3 linked regions of the Tamandua tetradactyla genome follow. The protein of the gene in region 3 interacts with the protein of the main gene of each other region in a pairwise test. Links are inferred from orthologs where the notes say so. Each region holds a gene or a part of one and is shown on either strand. Other genes may lie near its edges.

Region 1 (7,589 bases), on a different chromosome or scaffold from region 3:
TAAATACTAAAAATATCCATGTTAGACTTGAAAATTCCATGCCCAAAACCTCTCACCAGGTTCTCATTTACCTCAGTTTTAACTTCTTCCTTACGATGTTTATTCTGAATCCATACTTTGGGGTTTGAAGATCATTCTCCTTAATGAAAAAGTAGCAAAATAAAAAAGTTGATATACTTTTTTTTTTTGCATGGGCAGGCACGAGGAATCAAACCCAGGTGTCCGGTATGGCAGGAGGGAACTCGCCCTGTTGAGCCACCGTGGCCTCCCAGATGTTAATACACTTTTAATGCTAAATGTTAATATACAGTCAAAAAATGTTAACTATGCCTAAAAATGTTAATAAAATTCAGGACTACAAGCAAACATTAATGATTCTCATACTTGGCAGCTTATGAGACACACTCTTAAAAATCCTGACATCCAGGCCATACCCTAGGCTCAGTCAAGTCAGAATCACCGGAATGGGCCTCAATATTTATTTTAAAGCCTTCCAGGTTATTTTGGAACTCTGTACTTTATGCATGGTTTTCCTGTAAACCTACAATTTCTTTAAAATAAAGGAAAATGCATTCCAGGTGATTCTAATGCAAGACTAGTTTAGGAACCAATGATAAAAACCACAGCAGCATACATGGTACAAGCAGGCAGGAAGTGACTACTGACACTTAAGAGGTGAGTTTTAATATGGGGTTGGAAGGAAGAACAGTGCCTAACTCTAAATTCTATATTTTTCTCTTAAAACCTGGTGTCCAGAGGTCCCAGATGGGAACACAGGACTCCTTAACTAAAAAAGTGAGGGCAAAGCCAAGAACTAATAAAAAATATGGCTTGCTCCCCCTTCGGGGAATGGTGAGAGTTGGGAGAAATTCAACTTCCCTAAGAGATATTCTCACAAACAGTGTGGACAACCAAAGCTATAGGCTGAGCCCCCAGTCCTTGGGTTTGTTCACATGAAACTTAACCCCACAAAGGATAGGTCAATTCTACTTAAAATTTAGGCCTAAGAGTTACCCCCAAGAGAGCCTCTTTTGTTGCTCAGATGTGGCCCCTCTCTCCAGCCAACATGACAAGCAGTCTCATCACGCTCCCCCTCTCTGCGTGGGACATTACTCCCAGGGGTGTCGACCTTCCTGGCAACGTGGGACAGAGATCCTGGAATGAGCTGAGACTCAGCATCAAAGGACTGAGAAAAACCCTAGAATGAGCTGAGAATTAACATCAAGGGATTGAGAGAAACTTCTCAACCAAAGGGGGAAGAGTGAAATGAGACTAAGTGTCAATGGCTGAGAGATTCCAAACAGAGTCGAGAGGTTATCCTGGAGGTTATTCTTATGCATTAAGTAGATATCACCTTGTTGTTCAAGATGTAGTGGAGCGGCTGGAGGGAACTGCCTGAAAATGTAGAGCTGTGTTCCAGTAGCCATGTTTCTTGATGATGATTGAACAATGATATAGCTTTCACAATGAGACTGTGAATGTGAAAACCTTATGTCTGATGCTCCTTTTAGCTACTATATCAACAGAAGAGTAGAACATATGGAATAAAAATAAAGAATGGGGGAACAAATGTTAAAATAAATTCAGTTTGAAAGAGTGGTAAATGAAAGCGAGGGGTAAAGGGAATGGTATGTATAGTCTTTTTTTTCTCTATTATCATTTTATTTCTTTTTCTGTTGTCTTTTTATTTTTTTTCTAAATCGATGCAAATGTACTAAGAAATGATGAATATGCAACTATGTGATGATATTAAGAATTACTGATTGTATATGTAGAATGGAATGGTATCTAAATGTTTTTGTTTGTTAATTTTTTTTAATTAATAAAAAAAGACATTATTGGGATATAATAAAAATCGGAATATAGACTATAAGCTTTATGTCAATGTTAACTTTCTTGAACTTGACAGCTGTACTCAAGTGGTCAAATAAGTGAATATCCTTGATTTTAGGAAAAGTAAAAAGGCAATTTTCAGTGTTCAAGTTTAAATTATATGACCTACACTCAGGTGTTCCGGAAATGGATTGATAAATAGACAGACAGATAGATGATGATGATGATAGATAGACAGATAGATAGATAGATAGATAGATAGATAGATAGATAGATAGATAGATAGATAAAGGATGATACAACAAATGTAGCAAAATGTTAAAATAGTGGGATGTGGGTATCTAGGAGGAGGGAGGGATATTTTGGGGTATTTTTTATTATTTTTGTAACTGACTTGTAAGTTGGAAAGTATTTCAAAATAGAAAGTCAAAAACAAACAAACAAAAAAATATGGCTGGGGCAGGCCACGGTGGCTCAGCAGGCAAGAACACTTGCCTGGAATGCCAGAGGACCCAGGTTTGATTCCCGGTGCCTGCCCATGTATTAAAAAAAAAAAAAAAAAAAATATGGCTTGCTAGACAGGAAGGATTAAAAGGTAACAACTAGATAAAGAAAACAAGATTCACAACCTGTTACTTTTAACAAGATACATTTAAATTTCTAGACTGAAAGACAGCAATCTCTCTCAGCTGCAGGTATGTCATTACCTGGAGAAACTGCTGTGCTCTCAGGAGCCATACAAAGACGATAACACATAGGAAATACAAATCGCCCTAAGCAAAAACTGTTCTTTTATGTTGCATACAATATCTAGCTAATAGGGAACTCAAGTTCTAAGAAAAACAACACAAGTCACCATGCTAGATTTGGGCAAGACCTGACTCACTGGCCAGCCACTCCACTTTTTATCTGGTCAGCACCATCGTCACAATCGTCACCTTCAGCAGGTTTAGGGAAGCCAGCAGGTGCCCACACAGGGCTTGCTGTAAGTCACTGAGACTACAAAAGGCAGAGAGAGGCCTCACCCTGAGTATCAGACCCAGGGTAAGACTTATCTCACTTGAAGGAAAGGCCTTTATGACAACAGAGAAATCCTGGCTTGTGCGTCCTTCTTCTGTTTTCCAGGACTCCTAGTTCATCAAGCAGCCTAGGTAAGTCCTCGCCATGGGCAAAGTTCTCGGTTGATTTCTAGTTTGCCTTCCGAGAGGATTTTCAAGATACCTGTTTTATCTTTCTGTTCAAGGAAATAAGGTGCTGGGTAAATTTCTGTGTCATAGGATAGAGCCAGGGCTGTGGTCTGGTTAACTACCTGCCAGCGTAAGGCCTTGCCTAAACTGTAAGCCAGGACAGAAGTTCAAAACCGGCATTTATAAAAGTGTGCTAAAAGCCACAGAGCAATAGAAATGAACATTTAAAAGGCACGCACGTTTTGGAATTCTTAACTTTTTTTTCATCCTTTAATTATTGTTCCTATCAAGCTTTCCAGCTCCCCACATTAACCCCTTGCTAAATAATGTGTTAGTATTTGTTTGATTTGTTTAAATATTTTATCTGCAGCCCATTCCACACCATTAGTCAACATTTTCATCTGACAGCTGCAATCAAGGCCTCCGCCTCCTTTAAACCAAATATACTTCACAACAAAAGTGCAATTTATGAAAGCTGCTTGCCTCTCTTGCTATAGACATACTTCGTGGATCTTTGGGCAGTCAAGTGTATATATGCCCATAGAGCTTCCAAATAAGAATAACGATTCAAAGTGAAGCCCTACAAAAGTTGGATGATAAAGCTCGCCATCGCTGGGAAAAAAGCACTAATTATCTTAACGGAGTCAAGGCACGAGAACGAAAAGTTACCCGCTGACCACACCAAGAGCTCTTCAAATATACAATATAAATACCCTCGAGAATAAAACAGGTGCGTCCAAACTTGCTGACTACCTTAGACTAACAAAAGCGCAGTCAGCTTTCCCCCATGGAGGTGGCCGGCATACTCAGATTCATCTAGACCAAGGAGGGGACGCAGGAACTTTCGCAGCTACTGACCTAATCCGGATGGGGGTCCCGGCGCCCCTCGCCCAGGACCTCCCCATTCTCCATGCCCCCGACCCACTCGGTCGCGCGTGCTGCTCTGCACCAGCCCCGGGCCGGCTGGGGGACCCTGCTCCCGAGGGCCTCAGTCCTCTCCGCAGGGGTCCACGCGGGTGTGAGGGGTCGAGGAGCGGGCCTCAGGGCACAGACCGGCTCCTCACCTCTTGCGGTCACCCCTCCCGACCTAACCTCTCCGTGCTCCCCGCTTACTCGGCTCGGCGCCGCATCCCTGCGCTCGGCGCCGCGCTCAAGGGCCGGCTGGCGGCCGGGACCCGCCAAAGTGCGGAACAGAAGAGGAAGGGAAGTCTTCCTCGGGGGCCTTAGGGCCCCCATTGCCCCGCGTACACGGCTCCCGCGGCGCACGACAGCGGCGCGACGGCGAGGAAGCTGCCTTACGGCAGGATCGCAAAGCCGGAGGCGGGGGGCGGAGCGCGGCCGACTGAGCGCTTCCCCGCGGTGTGAGGGGTCGAGTGGACAGCGGGGCTGCGGGGTCGCGCTGCTGGATCCCGGCGGCTCTTCGGTGGCCGGGGTGGCTCCGGGCTGCTGTGCCTGACGGCTGGCGGCGGGGCGCGGCGCGGTGAGGCGCGGGGGCCAGAGGGCGTTTTTCCCGGGCTTGGCGGCGCTCGGCCCGGGGCGGAGCTGCGACAGGGGTGGCGGTGCAGAGGTGCAGAGGTCGCGATGGCGCGGACCGGACGGGTGAGCGTGGCGCAGCCCTGCGGGGACGCGGCGCCGTCTCCCTCGGCCGGGGCGGCGGGCGCGGTCTGCTCTCTGCGCGGGGCTCGCCGCGGGCCGGCCCCAGCTCCCGGAGCCGTACTCCGCGCGGCCTTGCGCACTGGCCGGGCCTCCCGGATGGGCTTCCGGGCTCCGAGCGCCGCTGCCCCCTCTCCGCGCGGGCCCATTGTGAGGTCAGAGCCGGCCGGCCCGTCCTGGGGCCCGGGCCGAGACGCCCGGAGAGGCCGCTGCGGCCAGTAGCTGCCGCCTCCGCCGCCGGCCCCTTCACCGGCTTCCCCTTTCAGACCTAGCGGGGCGGGGTGAGAGGGATGCAGCTTGGGGCCCAGCTCCGGTCCCTCACCCCGTAGAGGGCTGATCTTACACCTCGCCACCTCACCTACGGGAAGCCAAGGCCGCAACCAGCTTAGATCTTTCCTGGGTAAAGTTCGGAGGGGGAAGGGTGAGGAGGGAGGCAGGAACGCAGGCTGCCCTTCGTGGGCGTCGGGAAGGCCTGCGTGGTTCCGACGCCCACACGGAATTGGTTTCAATCGATTATTCTTCAGTGAGCCGTTCGGTAGAAACCCGAGGATACACACAAAAGGGGTTAAGCCATTTTGGACCCTAATGGGAGGCGAGCGAATTCATCGGAGCCGAGTCACGTTTCTGCGGGGTGTTTTTTGTTGTGTTGTTTTCTGTTTGTTTAGGAGGGGCGCGTAGTAGAGCCTGGGGAAGTCCTGATCCGCCAGAGCCCAAGGTTGAGCCTTCACTCTTCCTTTCCCCACGGGATTTTCTTTCTGCTGGGAAGATAGGGTGCGGTTGGATTTGAAAAACCGGGTAGCTTTGGAGAAGTGCATAAAGGGACGGAAAGGAATGTGGAAACGGGCACATTTAGGGTGTTTGAGAATTTCTGGTACTTGTTTCCAGTGGCTCCGTTCCTCTTGGTTAAAGTTACTTTTTCTGGAAATTGATTAGTGTTTGGAAGGCTAGTAAAGCTAGTTTTACTCCCCCATTCTTTATGTTCCGCAGAGATGCCCTGCTGGTGTCCAAAAAATAGCTTCCTAACTTAAGACCTAAAATATTTGTGTTATTTCCAAGCTAATAGTTAGCCCTCACGTCATTCTTTTTTTATTGACAAACCAAAACAACATACAAATACGAACATTCTTAACATACAAACATTCCATATATAGTGTACAATCAATGGCTCACGATATCGTCACACAGTAGTGAATTCATCACCATGATCGTTTTTTAGAACATTTACATCATTCCAGAAAAAGAAATAAAAAGAAAAAATTCATACATACTATACCTCTTACCCCTCCCTCTCATTGACCACTAGTATTTCCATCTACCCAATATATTTTAACCTTTGTTTCCCCTGTTTTTTTCTGTACCCCTTACTGCTACTCCCTTTCATTGATCGCTAGTATTTCAATCTACTCAACTTATTTTAACATTTGTTCCCCATTATTTATTTATTTTTAATTCATATTTTTAACTCATCTGTCCATACCGTAGATAAAAAGAGCATCAGACACAAGGTTTTCACAATCACACAGTCACATTGTGAAAGCTGTATCATTATACGATCATCCTTAAGAAACGTGGCTACTGGAACACAGCTCTACAGTTTCAGGCACTTCCCTCTGGCCTCTCTAATACACATTAAACTAAAAAGGGCCTCTTGACTCTGAAATCTGTCAGCCACTGACACTTTATTTTGTCTTACTTCTCTCTTCCCCCTTTCAGTCCAGAAGGATTTCTCAGTCCCTTGGTGCTGAGTCCCAGCCCATTCTAGGATTTCTGTGCCACACTGCTGGGAAGGTCCACACCCCTGGGAGTCATGTCCCATGTAGAGAGGGGGGAGATGCCATACTTCTCTAGGAGAGCATATGCTGTTCTCTTCCAGCTGAAGAAACTTGAAGCTGACAGAATTCCAGCTCATGCTCTAACTACAGTGATGCTGTTTATGATCTCTGCCATGTGTAGGTTATTTTCAGGAGAAAGAGTTGATGTGTCACCCTTCTTTCTGTACTTGAGTATGTCTGTCTTTGGGATTACAATAATGATAAGCCCTTTTATTCTAAGTATATTTTTAAGTGAAAATTTTAGACTTAATATATGATTGCCATTCTGCAGAGACTTTGTGCTGTAATAAGTTATCATTCTTGTCATCTTTTAGTGCTTGTGAAACTGAAAGCAACAAAAGTATGGATATGGGAAATCAACACCCTTCTATTAGTAGGCTTCAGGAAATCCAAAAGGAAGTGAAAAGTATAGAACAGCAAGTAATTGGCTTCAGTGGTGTGTCAGATGACAAGAATTACAAGAAACTAGAGCGAATTCTAACAAAACAGCTTTTTGAAATAGACTCTGTAGATACCGAAGGAAAAGGAGATATTCAGCAAGCTAGAAAGAGGGCGGCACAGGAGACTGAGCGTCTTCTTAAAGAATTGGAGCAGAATGCAAACCACCCACATCGGGTGGAAATACAGAATATTTTTAAGGAAGCCCAGTCCTTGGTGAAAGAAAAGATTGTGCCATTCTATAGCGGAGGCAACTGTGTAACTGATGAATTCGAAGAAGGCATCCAGGATATCATTTTGAGACTGACACACGTTAAAACTGGAGGAAAGATCTCATTGCGGAAAGCGAGGTATCACACTTTAACCAAAATCTGTGCTGTGCAAGAGATCATTGAAGACTGCATGAAGAAGCAGCCTTCCTTGCCACTTTCAGAAGATGTACATCCGTCAGTTGCCAAAATTAACTCTGTGATGTGTGACGTGAACAAGGCTAGAGGCACTCTGATTGCACTTCTGATGGGCGTGAACAGCAACGAGACCTGCAGGCACTTATCCTGTGTGCTCTCGGGGTTGATTGCCGATCTGGATGCTTTAGATGTGTGCGGGCGTACAGAAATCAGGAATTATCGAAGGGAAGTAGTAGAAG
Region 2 (6,959 bases), on a different chromosome or scaffold from region 3:
AGGTTGGCTCCTCTAGGTTTGTGTGTGTGGTGAAAGCAAACACTGCTCAGAGGAAGGGCCCAGAGTTCTGACCCCGAGGATAAAAGTTCTCTCCAAAGGGTCTGATGCTCAAATCTGAGTAGCTGAAAACATGATCATTTTTACATAGGCCTCTTGTCACTTGTCATTTCAGTCGGATAACTGTCTCTTTTATTCATGTTTCCATTTAGATCACGGTTTATACTTCACTGAACTTGAAAGGAATGCTTGTGTTTGTGTGTGAGCACCTGTGTGGTTTGGGTTGTGTTGTGCCTCTGCAAGTTTCCTTTGGTGTTGAAAGGAAAAGGTATTTCTCTCCCTTCCAAGCATGTTCTGCAAATTGATGAACATTTGCAAATTGCTTTGAGATGCGTTAATTTAAGGTGTGAAATAATAGATCTTGTGCAAAGGCTCAGCCACATTTCTGGCATTGATGGATTTCTCTTCCGTCTGGTCTGTGATTTGGGGTGGTAAAAATAGTCCTTGCTTCCACATTTTTATCGGTTTTTTTTTTTTTTTTTTTTTTTGCTGACATCATTCTTAGGAAGTAGTGCACACATGCCATACAGAACTTTCCTAGGCCATCGTATCTGGCAGCAGTGGGAACACAGAGCTCTGGGAGCAAGGGTGCTTCTTGGAGAGAAGGCAGTCATTGGGGTGGTCTAGGTGCCTCCTGGGTGTCTGTGAAATTGCTTTAAAATGAGCGGGCAGTGGGTAGTTAGACTTGGCCGCCAACCAGGGGCAGACTGTGGGGGCCTTAGTGGCTCCTTGATTTGTGGCTATCTTTTCATTTCCGACTTTTGGGTAGTGGCAAGATAGCTTTTTGGGAAAATTTAGCTTAAAAAGAGAAAATTAGGCCAGTGACTTCACCCCTTGCCATCTGAGTTGAGTGGCGCCCACACCGCTCAGTGTCTTCCTTTGGCCAAACCTGAGAAGTGGCGATCTCAGGCTTGACTCCCAGACAGAGAAGCCGACTTTGGGGCAGATCAGTCGATGGTGTAATTTCCTGTGACGTTAAATAGGGGAACTTGAAATTGGAATGTGATCTAGCATTTTGACATCTGTCTCTCTAATGGGATTTGCTTGTATGGAAACAGACCCACATACACAGGCCCCAGGTTAGTTCCAGGCTGGCACTGTTGTCTCCAATTCTGGATTTTTCCACAGGCGCCTTCTCGGGTGGTCTGGTTGCAAAGGCACCAGACTTCTAGCCAAGCCTCCTTGGCATCCACTGGTAGGATCCTAGCATCCCACGAAACCCGGCTCACCCCCCGAGCTGACTCCATATGGGAGGTGAATGAGGGGAGGTGATTGGAGTTGAAAGGTGGCGCGACTGGCCGTGATCCGAAATGCATTCGGTTCCAACTGTCTTGATTCACATGGAGCCGTTCTTTCTTTTAGACATCTGCGTGATGGTGACCTCATAGAAAAAGAGAAAGAGGGCTTTATGCAAGAATTCCATAGAGTGTGAAGGAATTCTGACAAGGGAGGGGAGGGGAGTAGCTGCTGGGAGCCTGCAGTGCTGCATTTTACCCTCGTTGTTGGACCCTGAGGCTGGGGGTGGGGGGCAGGGGGTGCTGTGAGGAAGGGGGGGCAATGCTCGACCCCAAGGAACAGAAATCCATTGAAGAACTCCCCTGTGCCCAAGTCGTAGCTGAGGTGCCGAGGTTAGTCTCTCAGATATAACGTCCCTGCGGGCGAGCAGCAGGGCTGGGATTGTTCACGCTGCCTTTCCCCAGAGCCTGCCCTCTTTCGTCCCTGATTGTCCACAAGGTCTTTGAAACTGGGAATTATTGGGAAGTGATCTGCAAGTAGATAATACTTTAAAAGGCTCTTCAGCCCTGATCATGCCTGCTGCCAACGGGGAACTCAGTAGGCTGTCAGTGCAGAGGAGAGCATGCTCCAGGAGCACTGGGCTCGAGAGGGACCCGTGGCATTTCAGCGGACTGGGATGGACAGGCTATGGGAGTTGGACAGATTCTCGGCCAAATGGAAACTGAGGCCCAGAGAGGGGAGGACTCGCAACCACAATCAAAGCTTGAAGACAAGCTTTGAGTTCCAGACCTGACATTTCTGAGCAAGTCACTTTAGCTCTCTGGGCCTCACTCCCCTCATCTGGAAAACAGGGTTGGGATGATGACCTGCTAAGACTTGGGGGAGAATGCAATGAAAATAATGCTCAGGAAGTGCTCAACATGTGGGTGGCACCTGGGAGGCGCTTGAGGGTCACCCCTGGAGGTTTTAATTACCAAGGACTTGCCCAGAGTCACACAGGCAGGAAGAATGTGCCCCGAGGGTTTGCAGTGCCCTTGCCCAGGGCTGAGAGGAGGTGTTGGTGCCCGCCCCGCCCCGCCCCCAGCCGGGTGCTGCTGAAGCTCTTTTCTATGCCCATGACTCCCAAATGGGGTGGAAGGAGACAGGTTGGAGAGAGGCAAGATTTACATGTCAGGATGGCCCTGAGGTGTCTCAGGAAACAGGTATTGTGCTTTCCTCCCCTCCCAGCCCCACGTGGTGAGGAAAGCGAGCCTTCAGACGTTTTTGGTGCCGCCTCTCGGAGTTGGGAGAGTCTCGGGAGGCCACGAGAGCTGCGCCAGCCGTGGTGTTTTATTAAGCGAGGCAGGTGTTTTGTTAATTATTTACACAGCGTTGGCCCCATCCGTGGTCTGTGCTGACAGCAGCGGCTGTCACAGACTCGGGCGACGGGGCAGCCAATTCCTGGTCAGAAGTGAGCACGAGACTCCCTTCCCCCAGGAGCCCCCATCGGCCAGGCCTGAGGGGGTCTGTGTGTGCCCTGCGCCCCCTCCTGAGTCATTTGGGGTTCCCTCAACCGGCTGGTTTTCCCCGAGGAAGAGAAGAGAGATCCTTGGCCTTCGGAAGGGGCCGCCCTTCCTGCGGCAGCCCCTGCTGGAACTGTGCCCGGCTCTTTAGACGGGTATCGCACCTGAGACCCCGCCCCGGTTGGTGTACTGGGGAGAGGGCGCCGGAGGCTCCGGGGGGGCTCAGAATCCAGTGTCTCCCCCTCCCCCGCCGGGCGAATGTGTCTGGAAAAACGCAGGAGTGACCCCAGGCTCGTGGCCCTTGATTCTCAGGCACAGTTCGGCATGATTTGCCTTAAAAATCAAACTTGACGATGAGAAATCTGAAAAGAATGGGGCCTGGGGTCACAGTCTTCCCTGCAAGGCCCCTACGAATACGGCCAAGTGCTTCTCCTGTTACCTGTTTTACATAAGGAGGTTTTGCATAGGAGTTAATTTAAGAAAAGGTTCTGATGCCTAAAAAAAGAAAAGTATGAAAGCCTCTCCGTTTACACGTGGAGATACTGAGGCCCAGAGAGAGGCGGCGGCAAGGCCTGTGTGCCTTGTGGTTGGAGTCCTGCCACGCTGGTCCTTCAGGCCGAGTGGACTCCAGTTGGTTAACCAGACACGCCTGTGCTGGCTGGAATGTGGCGCATCACATACGCGTTTGTTCGTTCGTTCATTCATTCATTCATGAAATGTGTTCCAACGTTTTGGGTCTGGCTTTGTGTCGGGAGCCGGCAAAGCTGTGCCTTGGCCTCTCCCTGCTGGGTGGGAACAGAGTTTGGGTCATGCCCACCTCGGAGGTGTTTGTGAACAATTTGCAGCAGTCGTCTCTGGGGAAACGGGGGGGGGGGCATGGCTTCCAAGAGTGAGGGGCATCTGAGCCAGCCTAGAGGGAGATGTGAGGTGTGCTGGGCAGGGAGAGGGCACGGGCGTGTCCCAGGCAGGGCGTTTGGAAGCTGGGAGGCCTGAGAGGGCTGGGGTGCAGGGTGAGTGGGTGAGTGGGGAGGTGTGGGACAGGGCACGGGGTTCAGGACGAGGGCCCTGCGCTGCGGACAGGCCTGGGACACTGTGAAGCCAGGAACCTCCTGCTGCCTCGTCAGCCTTTAGTCCCTTCAGCAGCTCCTCCGTGGGTACCAGGTGCCAGGTGCTATTCTGACCCCTTTCCATGGATTCACGCCCTTCATCCTCCCGGCGGTTCTGTGGGGTAGGAACTGTCATGCCCGATTTATAGACGAGGAAACAGATGCAGAGTCCAGGGTTCGTGGTGCTTAATTGCCTTCAGCGTAAGTGCTGTGAGGAAACCTGCAGCGTGCGGGTCTGGCAGAGGAGGGCAGCGGCTGGAAGGACCTCCGGAAGGACCGATTAGGCCAGGAGCTAGCACAGGGGATGGCCAGTCGCACACCTGGAAGAGGACCTCCCAGGTGGCCGGAAGGAATAGCATGTGGGAAGGTACCATTGCTGGGAGCGTCAATTGTTTATCTGGTGCCTGAGAAAGGGCCAGGGAGGCTCAGCCACAAAAAACACCGGCGATCGGCAGGAGGGGAGGCTGCTGAGGCCCTCAGGCTCTGGGCAAGGTTTGGTCTTTAAGAGGTGGGGCCCTGCTGCTTCTCCAGCTTCACTTCTCAGTAGTTTCCCCCTGGCTCACTCTGTGCCAACAACTCTAGCTGCCTTTCCTTTCCTCAGACATACCAAACATACTCCACCTCAGGACCTTTGCACTTACCATCCCCTTTTTCTGAAATTCTTTTCCCCTGATATTCACATGACTTTCTTCTAGACTTCATGCAAGGCTCTGCAACATCACTTCTCCAGAGAGACGCTGTCATCCTCTCCCTATTAGTCAGCCCCTCTTGTCCCTTCACTCTCTATTCCCTGGGTAGGCTTTAGTTTTCTTCATGGCGCTTACCTTTCCCTGACATCATATATGTGTTATTGGCCTCCCAGACTGAAAGTAAGCTTCCTGAGGACAGGGACTTGAAATGTGCCCAGATCATGCTTGGCATACAGTAGGTGCTCAGTATTTATTGGGCAAATGGGAAGTTTTATGTGGGCAAGTGGCAGGATCCTTGGAGAATGTTTATATGGAGTTAACTAATCAGTTAGCAGGCTTTGCTGGCAGCAACGGCCCCTCCACCCTCCTCCCTCCTCCTACTGTTCATTGAGTAACTGGGTTGCACCCAACTGACCCTCCTCGATGAAGAGGAAGTTTCTAGAGAAAGGACTCAACTGCAAATTGCTCCAAGTAGGAGGAACTTGGTTGCCAAAACGTAACCCAGAAGGGCTTGCACATGCCAGAGTTATATGGGTCTCCTTCCTTTGCTGCTTTTCTGCAGAAGTAGCTGCTGAATGTCTATGGAGGGGCTTGGGGAATGGGTACCAGGGTTCATATCTTAAAGCTGCATTTTTGTGTGGAGCATGCTTTTTGTTTAAAGAATACATCTTTTGTATAATTGCTTTGAGAAGGCAAGGGGCTAATCCTTCCAAGCCACCTCTGTTTGGCAAATGAACTGGTCCAGCAAACAGGGAATCCCAGGATTGAAAGAGAGAATAGTTCTCCAGCTGGTATGGTCTTGGCGGGCCACCGGGGTGGGTGTCCAGATGGCGGGACCACTGGGCACCACACGGCAGGCAGACAGGGAGCCGGGGAGAGGGATCCCACACCCTGGGTTTGATGGGTCCGGTGAGCCCGGCTGCATTTGGTTACAGCGGAATCACAAGTGTGGACTTGGCATTCCCAGCCCTGTGTCTGTGTGTGCATTTCCTTTGTTTGCTTCCCCCAGGAATTTCAGTGGCCTTTGTGTTTGTTTTAAATGCCAACCTCCTCCTCAGCTAGCCGAAGAGGAAATGAGGACTGGGTTTTTGTCTGGGCAGAGACTGTAACAAGGGTGGGGACCGCCTTAGAGCCAGCCTGATGGTGACAGGGCAGCATTTGGGAAGCATTCTGCGGTTTGTCCTGAGGGGTGACAGGCTCAGAGAGTGCTGGACTGGGCGCTGGGGTCACTGATGAGTAAGACTCGTGCCCAGTTTTCACGGCGCGTCAGCACGAAGCTGCCGAGCACCACTTTAGGACCAGCCTCCGTGCTGGCCTCTGGGAGAAACACACAGGAATCAACGCGGTCCCTTACTCACCTTCCTGGGGAAACATGAACAGAAAATACTTAGACTCCAAGCCATAGATAGTTTTCATTTGAGCATGCTTTTGTGGTATCCCGTGTCTTCAGCTATCAGTCATCCAGAGGGTAGGCACATGGTGACCACGGTTTACAAACTCCCAGATGGACAGTGCTCTGTAAAAGTGCTGCGGTGCCGTTTGGGGGCGGGAGAGGCGGTTCGAAACCCTTCTTCGGTCGCTGGTGTGTGAGAAGCTCCTGATAACATGAAGTGCTTGTGGGGCGGCATCTTTGAAATTGCGCAGTGCTGAAAATTCGGGGACATTTGGTCGCTGTGATGTGCTAATGTTAGCAATCGAGATATGTAATTACCCAGAAAACACCCTTTTCCTACCCGCTAAGGGTAACTGGAGAGACTTGATTTCTCCGAAGGAGTTTCTTACACAGTGTAATTTGGGTCAGCAGACAGGGACTCATTATCCCTCATTAATTTTTTAGCTAATTAAGCGATTTATCTGGTCACGCGTTTATTCCTTCAATCGCTGTTCATCCATCAGTGTTTCCCGAATGCCTCGTAAGTGCCTGACCGGTTCTAGGCACTGGGGATTTAATGAAACAGGAGAGAAAATATCACCGCATCCCCCATGTGTGCCCAGCCCTGTGCCAGCCTGTGGTGTGGGGCAGCAGGGTACGGATGAATTAATTCATTTCTCGGTGCACATTTACTGAGTACCTACTATGCACAGACCCCTGGAGATGCAGAAATGAACCATGGCACAGACCCTAAGGGCTTGAACCCTCGCCCCGTTGTGATGGGGTCTTTTGGTCCCCACCCTCTGCTTTCTGTCATAAGCCCCCATTCACGGGCCACGTGATGGCGTCTCGGAAATGAACCGGGAACCATCCAGATGCCCCAGGAGCCGACGTGAGAACAAGCATCCCCTTCACACATCGTGTCTCAGTTCAGCGTCTTGCCACCACCCAGCATTTTGAGACAGAATGTGAGATCTCGTGGTTGGCTAAATACATA
Region 3 (7,909 bases):
TGACTATTTTTGTGCTACAACGGTAGGCTGGGTGGTCATGACAGAGACTGTACGTCCTGTAAAGCCTAAAGTACTTCCTCTCTGGCCTTTTACAGAAAGTTTGCTGACAGCTGGTTGAAACACCCCTTCTCAGGAGATGTGCTCCCATCCACTCTCCCTCTCAGTCACTCACTGCAACTCGGTGATGCACACACGCCCTCATTTATAAATCCTTTCCACAAGCTCACTCCTCTCCTCAGCTGGAAAGTCATTCAAAGACATAAACTATAAAATATAATCTCAGCAACAGAAAATTAAAATAGACACTAAAGATCAACTCAATGGTGCTTCTTGAAGGAGGGCCCATTGGAACCGTGGTAGGGACAATTCTGCCTGGCACAGGACACCGTCACTCCTTGCCCCCTTCCGAGATGCTGTGACAGCCACAGAAATGCTCACGGGCTTGGGGGGGAGGGCTGGGCACCACTGGCCGTGATTACAAACCATCAGTGGGTCCAGCCTACACGCTCCACAGATCAGCAAACTGAGGCCCTGGCAGGTTATGGCTCTGCCCATGACGCAAGGGGTGGGAGGAGTGCCAGGGGGCAGACCTGGACGCCAAGCCTGTGCTCCACGACCTGCGCCCAGGTACACTGGGCTGCTCATTCCGACAGAGTCCATCCAGGCCCACTGAGAAGGTTCTCCACCCATCAGGCCTATTTTCAAGCCAGGGGAGCTGAGGTCTCAATGCGCGGTGCCAGCACAGCAAGGGGGAAAAATTCCTGCCAACAAACTTAATACTGCAGGAAGATGATGACAAAATTCCTATTGATGGGAGAAGATGACAAAATTATTCACAAGTGGGACTATCCACTACTAGTCCAAGAGTTTACTTTTCAGGTGCAAATATCTCTACTAGGAGGGGATTTGTAATATTTTTATTTATTTTTAAACAAAACAGCAGTTATTTTTTTCCCCTCAATTTTCAAAACAAAACCCACAAATACCCCAATCAGGAACTAGCATATCAGCCACTGGGCAAGCCCTGGGAGCAAGGAGAGAAGGCAACAGAGAGCAAAGCTCAGGGCTGAGGAGCTGTGAAGGCAGCAGCTCAGAGAAAAATCACCCATGTGGCCCTCTGCAGAAGCCAGCAGCTGACACCTACAGCAGGTCAACTCTCCAGACCCTGGCTCCAGAATCTTTTCCCCAAATGCGGGAAAGGATCTGGTTTTCCTTTGGGTGTGCAGGGGAGTTCCCAGCTGCCCTGGGGGTTGTCCTGACCTGCATCTAACAACTCTCAACACCCTGGCGGGGAGAGCAGTGGGCAGCAGAAGCAGTGTCAGCTGCGCGCTGGAGCAGCACTCACCAAGAGTTCCGCTCGCGCCTGCTCCCCTTGTGCCCTCCGCCTCTTCTTCAGGTCTTTCACTCTTTTTAGGTGATCCAGTTGGTTCTGGATTTGTTCCTGAGAAAAGCATGACAGTTGGGCAGTACAAGATGAGGCAGTGCTTTACCTCCGCGCCGCTGCTCTGTCACAGATGGACCCCACACTCCTGGTGCTGGGCCTGCCTTTGGACAACATGGCCACCCTCAGTGCAGGGCGCAGGGGCCAGCGCCACCACGCTGCTCCTTGGTCACTTTGTGTCTCACACAGTGGGTCTCCCCCTGCCTCAAGAACACTGCATGGTCTCTGGAAATGCAGCTAGACTAAGGAGTCAAGGCGTAACTTCCACAGGTGAGAAGGTGCAGCAGGGGTGAATTCACCTTCCCACCTACTCAAGGGTTCTGAGCCCAAGTGAATTAATTTAGGTGAAAACACCATAGACGTTAAGTGACTGATCATGCATGAAGTGACAGACTCACATTTTAAAATGCATAATTGCAAGTGTGTTGCTGCATCCCTCATATGTAGAGAAGACGCCACAGCAGCCTGCAGTCCTTGAATGCTACCTTACCACCGTTTGAAGTGTAACGCTTCGTTTCCTTGTTAAGGTTTAGCTGTGTGAGTCTGTTGGCTCAACAGTTGGCAAAGGCCACCCCCACCCCCACCCCCACCCCCACCCCCACCATTTCACTTAATCTTCATGAAAATTGTGCTGTTATTCTCCACGAGTCTCAGAAATGTTAAATGACCTGCTCGAGCAGTCAGGAGCCGTGTTCCTTTCGGTGGAGAGGAAATGCTGACAGAGCTCGGTGTGTGCGCAGCCAGCCAGCGTCTGCGTGGATTTCGCGGAAATCACCCGGGAGGGCAGGGTGCGCGGGGCGGGGGCCGGGGGCGCGCGGATGCGCGGGCCGGGGGGCGCGGGCGCACGCACACCTGGCACTGCCAGGGTGGGGCCCGCGCGGCTGTCTTTGTGCGGACGGTCTCCCCCAAGCCTTCCATGCAGGCCACGGGGGAAGGGGCGGGCTGGGGGGCCTCTGGCTCCCTCGCAGCCACAGGTTTTCCTCCTAAAGCCGGGCGCGGAGGCTCAGAGCGGACAGGGAGGAAATGACGGCTGGGAAGCACGCGTCCGGCTCGGCCATTTTCTGGGCGGAATGAAAGGGAAGCCCCCGGGCGCCCGCGTCCCTTTGTCCAGCCAGGTCCCGAGCCCCCCGCCGGCGCGCTGGGCGCTCACCTTGAAGCCGTCCACCGCCTCCTCGAGCGGCAGCACGCTGTGGCCGCGGTGCTCGCGCGAGCGGTCGCACACCACGCAGATGGGTGTCTGGTCCTGCTCGCAGTACAGTTTCAGCGGCTCGCGGTGCTTCTCGCACCCGCCCATCTCGCCGCCGGGCCCCGACGGCCGCTCGGAGCGCAACTGCCGCACCAGCTGGGTCACGTTGGCCAGGTGCCGGTTGGGCCGCATGTGCCGCTGCGGGAAGGTCTCCCGGCACTGCGGACACGACACATTGGTCTCGGCGGCGCCCCAGCAGCGCGCGAGGCACGCGCAACAGATGTTGTGGCCGCAGTCGAGCATCATGGGCTCGGCGAAGTACTGCAGGCACACGGGGCAGGTGGTCTCCTGCTGCAGGCACTCGGCCACGCTCCCGGAGGCCATGGCGCGCGCCCGCGGGGGCGCCCGGGCATGGGCCCCGCGCTGAGGGCTGCGCTCCCGCGGGCTGGCGGCGCGGGGGCAGCCGAGGGGCCCCGGACGGGCGGCGCCCGCGCGCTGAGGCCTGGACGGCCGGGCCGCTCCGTGCCGCCGCCCCGCCGAGTGGGCCCCACTGGCCTTGGCGGCGCCGCGCGGGCTCGCGGGGGGGTTGGGGGGACGGAGCGGGCCGGGCGACGCGCGCCGAGCGCGCAGGACAACGTGGCCGCGTCCGAGCGGATCCCGGGCCGCCGAGACCCCGCCCGGCGCCGGCGGAAGGGGCGGCTCGGGGGCGGGGCCTGGCCGCGGCCTGCGGCGGGCGCGCGGCCCCGCCAGCCTCGGTTCCGGCCCGTCGTCCCCCGCCCGGCCCGCCGACTGTTACGGCCCCGCTGCCGCGGAGGCCCGGAGCTGCGGCCCGGGCGGGGCTGGCGCGGCAGGGAGCGGCCCCTGCGCAGGCCCTGGCCCTCTCGGCGCGGCGGCGGCCTGCCCGGCCCGGGGGCTGCCCGCCTTTGTGCCCCTTCGCCGCCCGCGCAGGGACGCCGCCTTTGTGTCGGGGGCGCTGCCTGCGGGCCCCCTTCGGCACGCGACGTGGTGCACCCTGTGGAAACACCCCATTCACATTCGGAGGCCCTTGCGACTTTGTTAGAAAAAAGGAAAGTCTATCGTAAGGTATGTCTGCTAAGAAACAAATTAAGCTGAAAGGCAGTAGAGGCTTTTACTTGGGGTTGCAGTTCAGGGAGCCCAGGATCAAGTTTCCACCCAGATCGTGTCCCGTCTTGGCCTAAGGAAGAGAAGAGAAGGCGAGCTGCACGTGGGGCGTTTGGGGCGCTCTTCCCTGCCTCCCTTGGGGCCTCCCTTAGCCGGCCTTGGGGCTTGTTTGCGGTGCCTGCACGGCCTCGAGTTCGCAGACATTGCTGCTCGTGGCGCTGCGCCTTGGGCAGTTTGTGGGTCTGGGTGAGACCTGCAGAGGGGCAACCTGGCTCCGTTTTCAACGTCTTTACCGCAGGAAGCTTTATTTTGTTTTTTTCTCTCCGGCGAGCATTTCCGAAGGGCAGAGACGAGTCACACAAGCCCAGCTCTCCTTCCCTTCTGTGCCCAAGCAAGTCTGTTTGCCCTTCAGATCCCGAGTTCCCTCTGGTGAGATGGGCATGACGAGTACGCTGGCGAGAGGGGAGACTTCATTATACCTCTTTTTTCTTTTGATAACCGTAGGATATTTATCCACTGAAATAGAGTGGTTGTGTTGAGTAGGGCGGAAAAAGTGTCTGCTCCTTACCAAAGCCCGGGACACGGGGAAGCCTGCGGCAGCCCACCCTGGAGTAGCTCACGGCCCTGGAGTAACTCACGGTTCTGAAGTAGCTCACGGTTCTGAAGTAGCTCACCGCCCTGGAGTAGCTCACCATCCATTCTCTTTCCATCAGCCAGTGGACTTAGAGTTATGTTGTGTTACCCTCTCATCCCTGCCTTGTATTTCCTAATTTTCTTTGGAATTTTCTCAGTATTGGCAGACTGTACATAAGCAAGAGGGGCGTCTGCTTCCCCCTTTGCTTTCCAGGATTCTGCCCTGGCCTCCCCTGGTGGGCAGGAGGTCTGCCGAGCTAAGTGAACTTGCCAAACCCAAGTTCACCCCCCACCCCCAAACCACACTCTGACTACAGAACTCTAGTTCCTGGCCCAAATAACCCCAACCCAATTCCAGAAAAATATGGGGTGCTTGGACTAGCCCACATCACAGAGTCTCAGATTCTGGTCTTTCTTTGAAATTGGGTCAAAAATTGACATTTGGAGGAACTGAAGGATGCTTCTCGGGTTTACTCACAAAGGAGTAATAAACATTGTGACTCAATGTACAAATATGAGAGATGGAGATAAGTAGCTGAGGCTGCCCACCATCTCCTTATCTCAGGGATGCCTCGCTGCTGTTTTTGTTTTCCAGAATTTCCAGTGTAACTCCTTAAAATCCCCAGCAGTGGGTGATGGTGAGAAAAGATGGAATAAAATCCTTGAGGAGCTGGGGTGGGGTCAGAGAAGAGGGAAAGGGAAGAGTTCCACTTGGTAATCCCTGTCAGCTCCATTGTTTCTTGAATGCGCAGAACGCCAGGATGCCTGAAAAGTGGCCACCAGGCCTCGGCCACACCTGAGTCAACTTTGTCTCTTTTAGGACAGTGCAGTTTGGACGTTGGGCCAGGCTCCAAGGAGCCCTGGAAGGTTGGCATGTGCACACACACGTGAAGTGTGTTGGGTGGGGCTAGGGCGGGGCTGGCGAATTCAACTCACTGCTCGGGTCCCTGCCTCGGGCAGGTGAGGACACTTGAGAAAGGGCTGTGCCCCGTCTTCCTGAAAGGCATTCCTAACACATTGAATGTGCTTAAATGCTTAGATGAAGGAACAGTGAACAGTCAAAATAATGAGACTAGCCATTAATTTAATGCTTCCACTATCATACTTTTGGCATACATCTCATCGTTGTGAACGTTATTTGTTCAGTTATGAAGTGACAGGTGCAAACTCAAACGCGCTTTGGAAGTAAGAAGATAACTTAAATGAGCAGGTCAGGTCGGGGACAAAATAGGGAAAGCTGGGGACATTGTCTAAATGGAGGACAGCGGTCCCTGGGAATGTAGCCCTGTCCCTTGCCAGTTACGGCCACCGAGGATGCCGTCCAGCATACTGCTAAATGTTTAGTTTTTTTCCCAAGAGAAAGCAGAAATCTAGACTTTCATGTGAAATTTACAGACTTAAGTGTTTGGCAACTTACTAAAAATTTAAAAATCATGCCTGCAAGGTGAAATTGGCCTCCTGGCCTCCAGTGTGGGGCTTCTGGTACAGCTCTTTATTTAAAAAGTGTTTTTCAATCTTGACACAAAATGAACGGGACAGTTGATGACTATTCAATAGCTAATTTCCACTCCTTCCTTAATTTTTCTTTCTCTGTATAGCCATATGCCCAGTTAAAAGATATTTTTCTCTTACTGCTAGTAACATGGTAAATTCATGAAGTCAATGCTACAGTATAAAATCCTGTGCAGATAATTTGCCAGAGGGCACCGTCAGCTCACCCAGCACTTCCTTCCCGCTTTAACGCCATCCTGAGCCTGTGGGTGACTAGGGGACCTAAGTGGAAGTTGTGTGGGAATTCTGAGAAAGCACCTTAAAAGGAAGCCTACTCAGCTGGGAAGTATGCCTTTTTAATGCCCACTCCCTTCCTACTTCTTCCAGCCTGAAATGTGACATGATGGTAGGAGCTACAATAGCCATTTTGGACCATGAGGCAACCTTGAAGATGGAAGCCAGTGCTGAGATAGTGCAGCACAAGTGGAATGAACTTACATTCTTATTGTCTGTAGAGTGCCTGCATCCAAACTTCATGTGCATAAGACAAAATAAAGCAAAACACTTGCTTGTCTTGTTTAAGCTGCTTATTTAGATATACAATGAAATATACATATACAATGAAAGCTAAACCTGAAAAAATAAAATATTATTTTATTAATAAAATATTTTGTTTAAAAATGAGTATGAAATTCCTACCTGCTATCTCTGCTCAACCTACCCACCCCAAGGGTGTCAGTGATTTCTGTTAGTATTGGCCAAATCCAGGAGACATTTCTCAGGCTTCAGCTTTTCCTTGCTTCATTCTCTGATTGATAAGGAGAGATGGCTGAGGGTGTGGGAGTGGTAAAAAGTAACAATGGTGGAATTTCTCAGGGGAGAATAGGAATCAATTCTGCTTGGGAGGGAGGAGTTGGTGTACCTTAGGTATCTTTTGAATTTTAAACCATATGCATGCATGCCTTAGCTATTCAAAATGAATTAAGTTAGAAAAGTAAGGTAAACAAATGAGCTCTCCAGTATTTGAAGCACTCCTGATTTTTGCTCAGGGAAATAGATATTCTATTTTAAATTTCAAACCTTAAAGTTTAGTATAAAGAAAAGTTTTATTTCCTCAAGGAACTTTAATGGTTTTGATTGAGTAAAGAAATGGCCTTTTTTTTTAAAGAGCGAGACAAAGATTAATATCTTTATAAAGAGTTTTATAAATCAATATGGAAGCTCATTAATATTCCAATATAAAAATGAGCAAAGGATAAATGGACAACTCACAAAAGATAAAATACACTGTTCTACTTTGCTAGCTGCCGGAATGCAACACACCAGAGACAGATTGGCTTTTAATAAAGGGATTTATTTTGTTAGTTCTTCAGAGGAAAGGCAGCTAACTTTCCACTGAGGTTCTTTCTTAGGTGGGAAGGCACAGGATGGTCTCTGCTGGCCTTCTCTCCAGGCCTCCGGGTTCCAACAACTTTCCCCTGGGTGATTCCTTTCGGCATCTCCAAAGGCCTGGGCTGAGAGTGCTGAGATGAGGTATGCTGAGCTGCTTGGGCTGTGCTAGTTGAGCTCTCTCATTTAAGCACCAACCAATTAAATCAAACATTCATTGCAGCAGGCATGCCTTCTAGCGGACTGCAGATGTAATCAGCAACAGATGAGGTTCACATACCATTGGCTCATGTCCACAGCAACAGAACTAGGCACCTTCACCCGGCCAAGTTGACACCTGAACCTAACTACCACATACACCTAGAAAAACTTTTCAGAAGAAGATTTAAGGACATGAGAAAATGAAGTATAATATTAAGTAGAAAAAATAGGATCAAAACTATATATAACATAGTTTCAATTTTGTAAATACACAAATACACTGAAAAAAGGTTGAAAGGAAATATAACAATATTTGAAGTATTTTGGGGTAGAAGATAACGAGTAAATGTTTTTTATTTTCTTTATATTTTTCTGTCTTTTCAAATGGAGAATTTGACTATTTTATGGAAAAAAAGAACAAAACACTGCAGCGTTACTTGAACCAG

What was found.
Region 1: the proteins of TRIM27 (region 3) and BAG5 interact in binary tests that used the Homo sapiens proteins (3 or more experiments, as listed by UniProt). The two-hybrid records come from large-scale screens. The link is inferred for Tamandua tetradactyla from reciprocal best matches to the Homo sapiens genes TRIM27 and BAG5.
Region 2: the proteins of TRIM27 (region 3) and NEK6 interact in binary tests that used the Homo sapiens proteins (3 or more experiments, as listed by UniProt). The two-hybrid records come from large-scale screens. The link is inferred for Tamandua tetradactyla from reciprocal best matches to the Homo sapiens genes TRIM27 and NEK6.

What each region holds. Positions count from the first base shown.
Region 1 is NC_135340.1:89,304,649-89,312,237, forward strand, and holds the start of BAG5 (BAG family molecular chaperone regulator 5), read left to right. Parts: upstream 1-4,498; 5' UTR 4,499-4,619; intron 4,620-4,753; exon of another isoform or gene 4,754-5,073; intron 5,074-6,819; 5' UTR 6,820-6,847; coding exon 6,848-7,589. Other genes in the region: COA8 (cytochrome c oxidase assembly factor 8), read right to left, coding at 4,134-4,256. UniProt on the Homo sapiens protein: Co-chaperone for HSP/HSP70 proteins. It functions as a nucleotide-exchange factor promoting the release of ADP from HSP70, thereby activating HSP70-mediated protein refolding.
Region 2 is NC_135328.1:46,340,214-46,347,172, forward strand, and holds the start of NEK6 (serine/threonine-protein kinase Nek6), read left to right. Parts: upstream 1-3,868; 5' UTR 3,869-4,258; coding exon 4,259-4,268; intron 4,269-6,959. UniProt on the Homo sapiens protein: Protein kinase which plays an important role in mitotic cell cycle progression. Required for chromosome segregation at metaphase-anaphase transition, robust mitotic spindle formation and cytokinesis.
Region 3 is NC_135331.1:193,510,801-193,518,709, reverse strand, and holds the start of TRIM27 (zinc finger protein RFP), read right to left. Parts: upstream 3,051-7,909; 5' UTR 3,012-3,050; coding exon 2,592-3,011; intron 1,442-2,591; coding exon 1,346-1,441; intron 1-1,345. UniProt on the Homo sapiens protein: E3 ubiquitin-protein ligase that mediates ubiquitination of various substrates and thereby plays a role in diffent processes including proliferation, innate immunity, apoptosis, immune response or autophagy.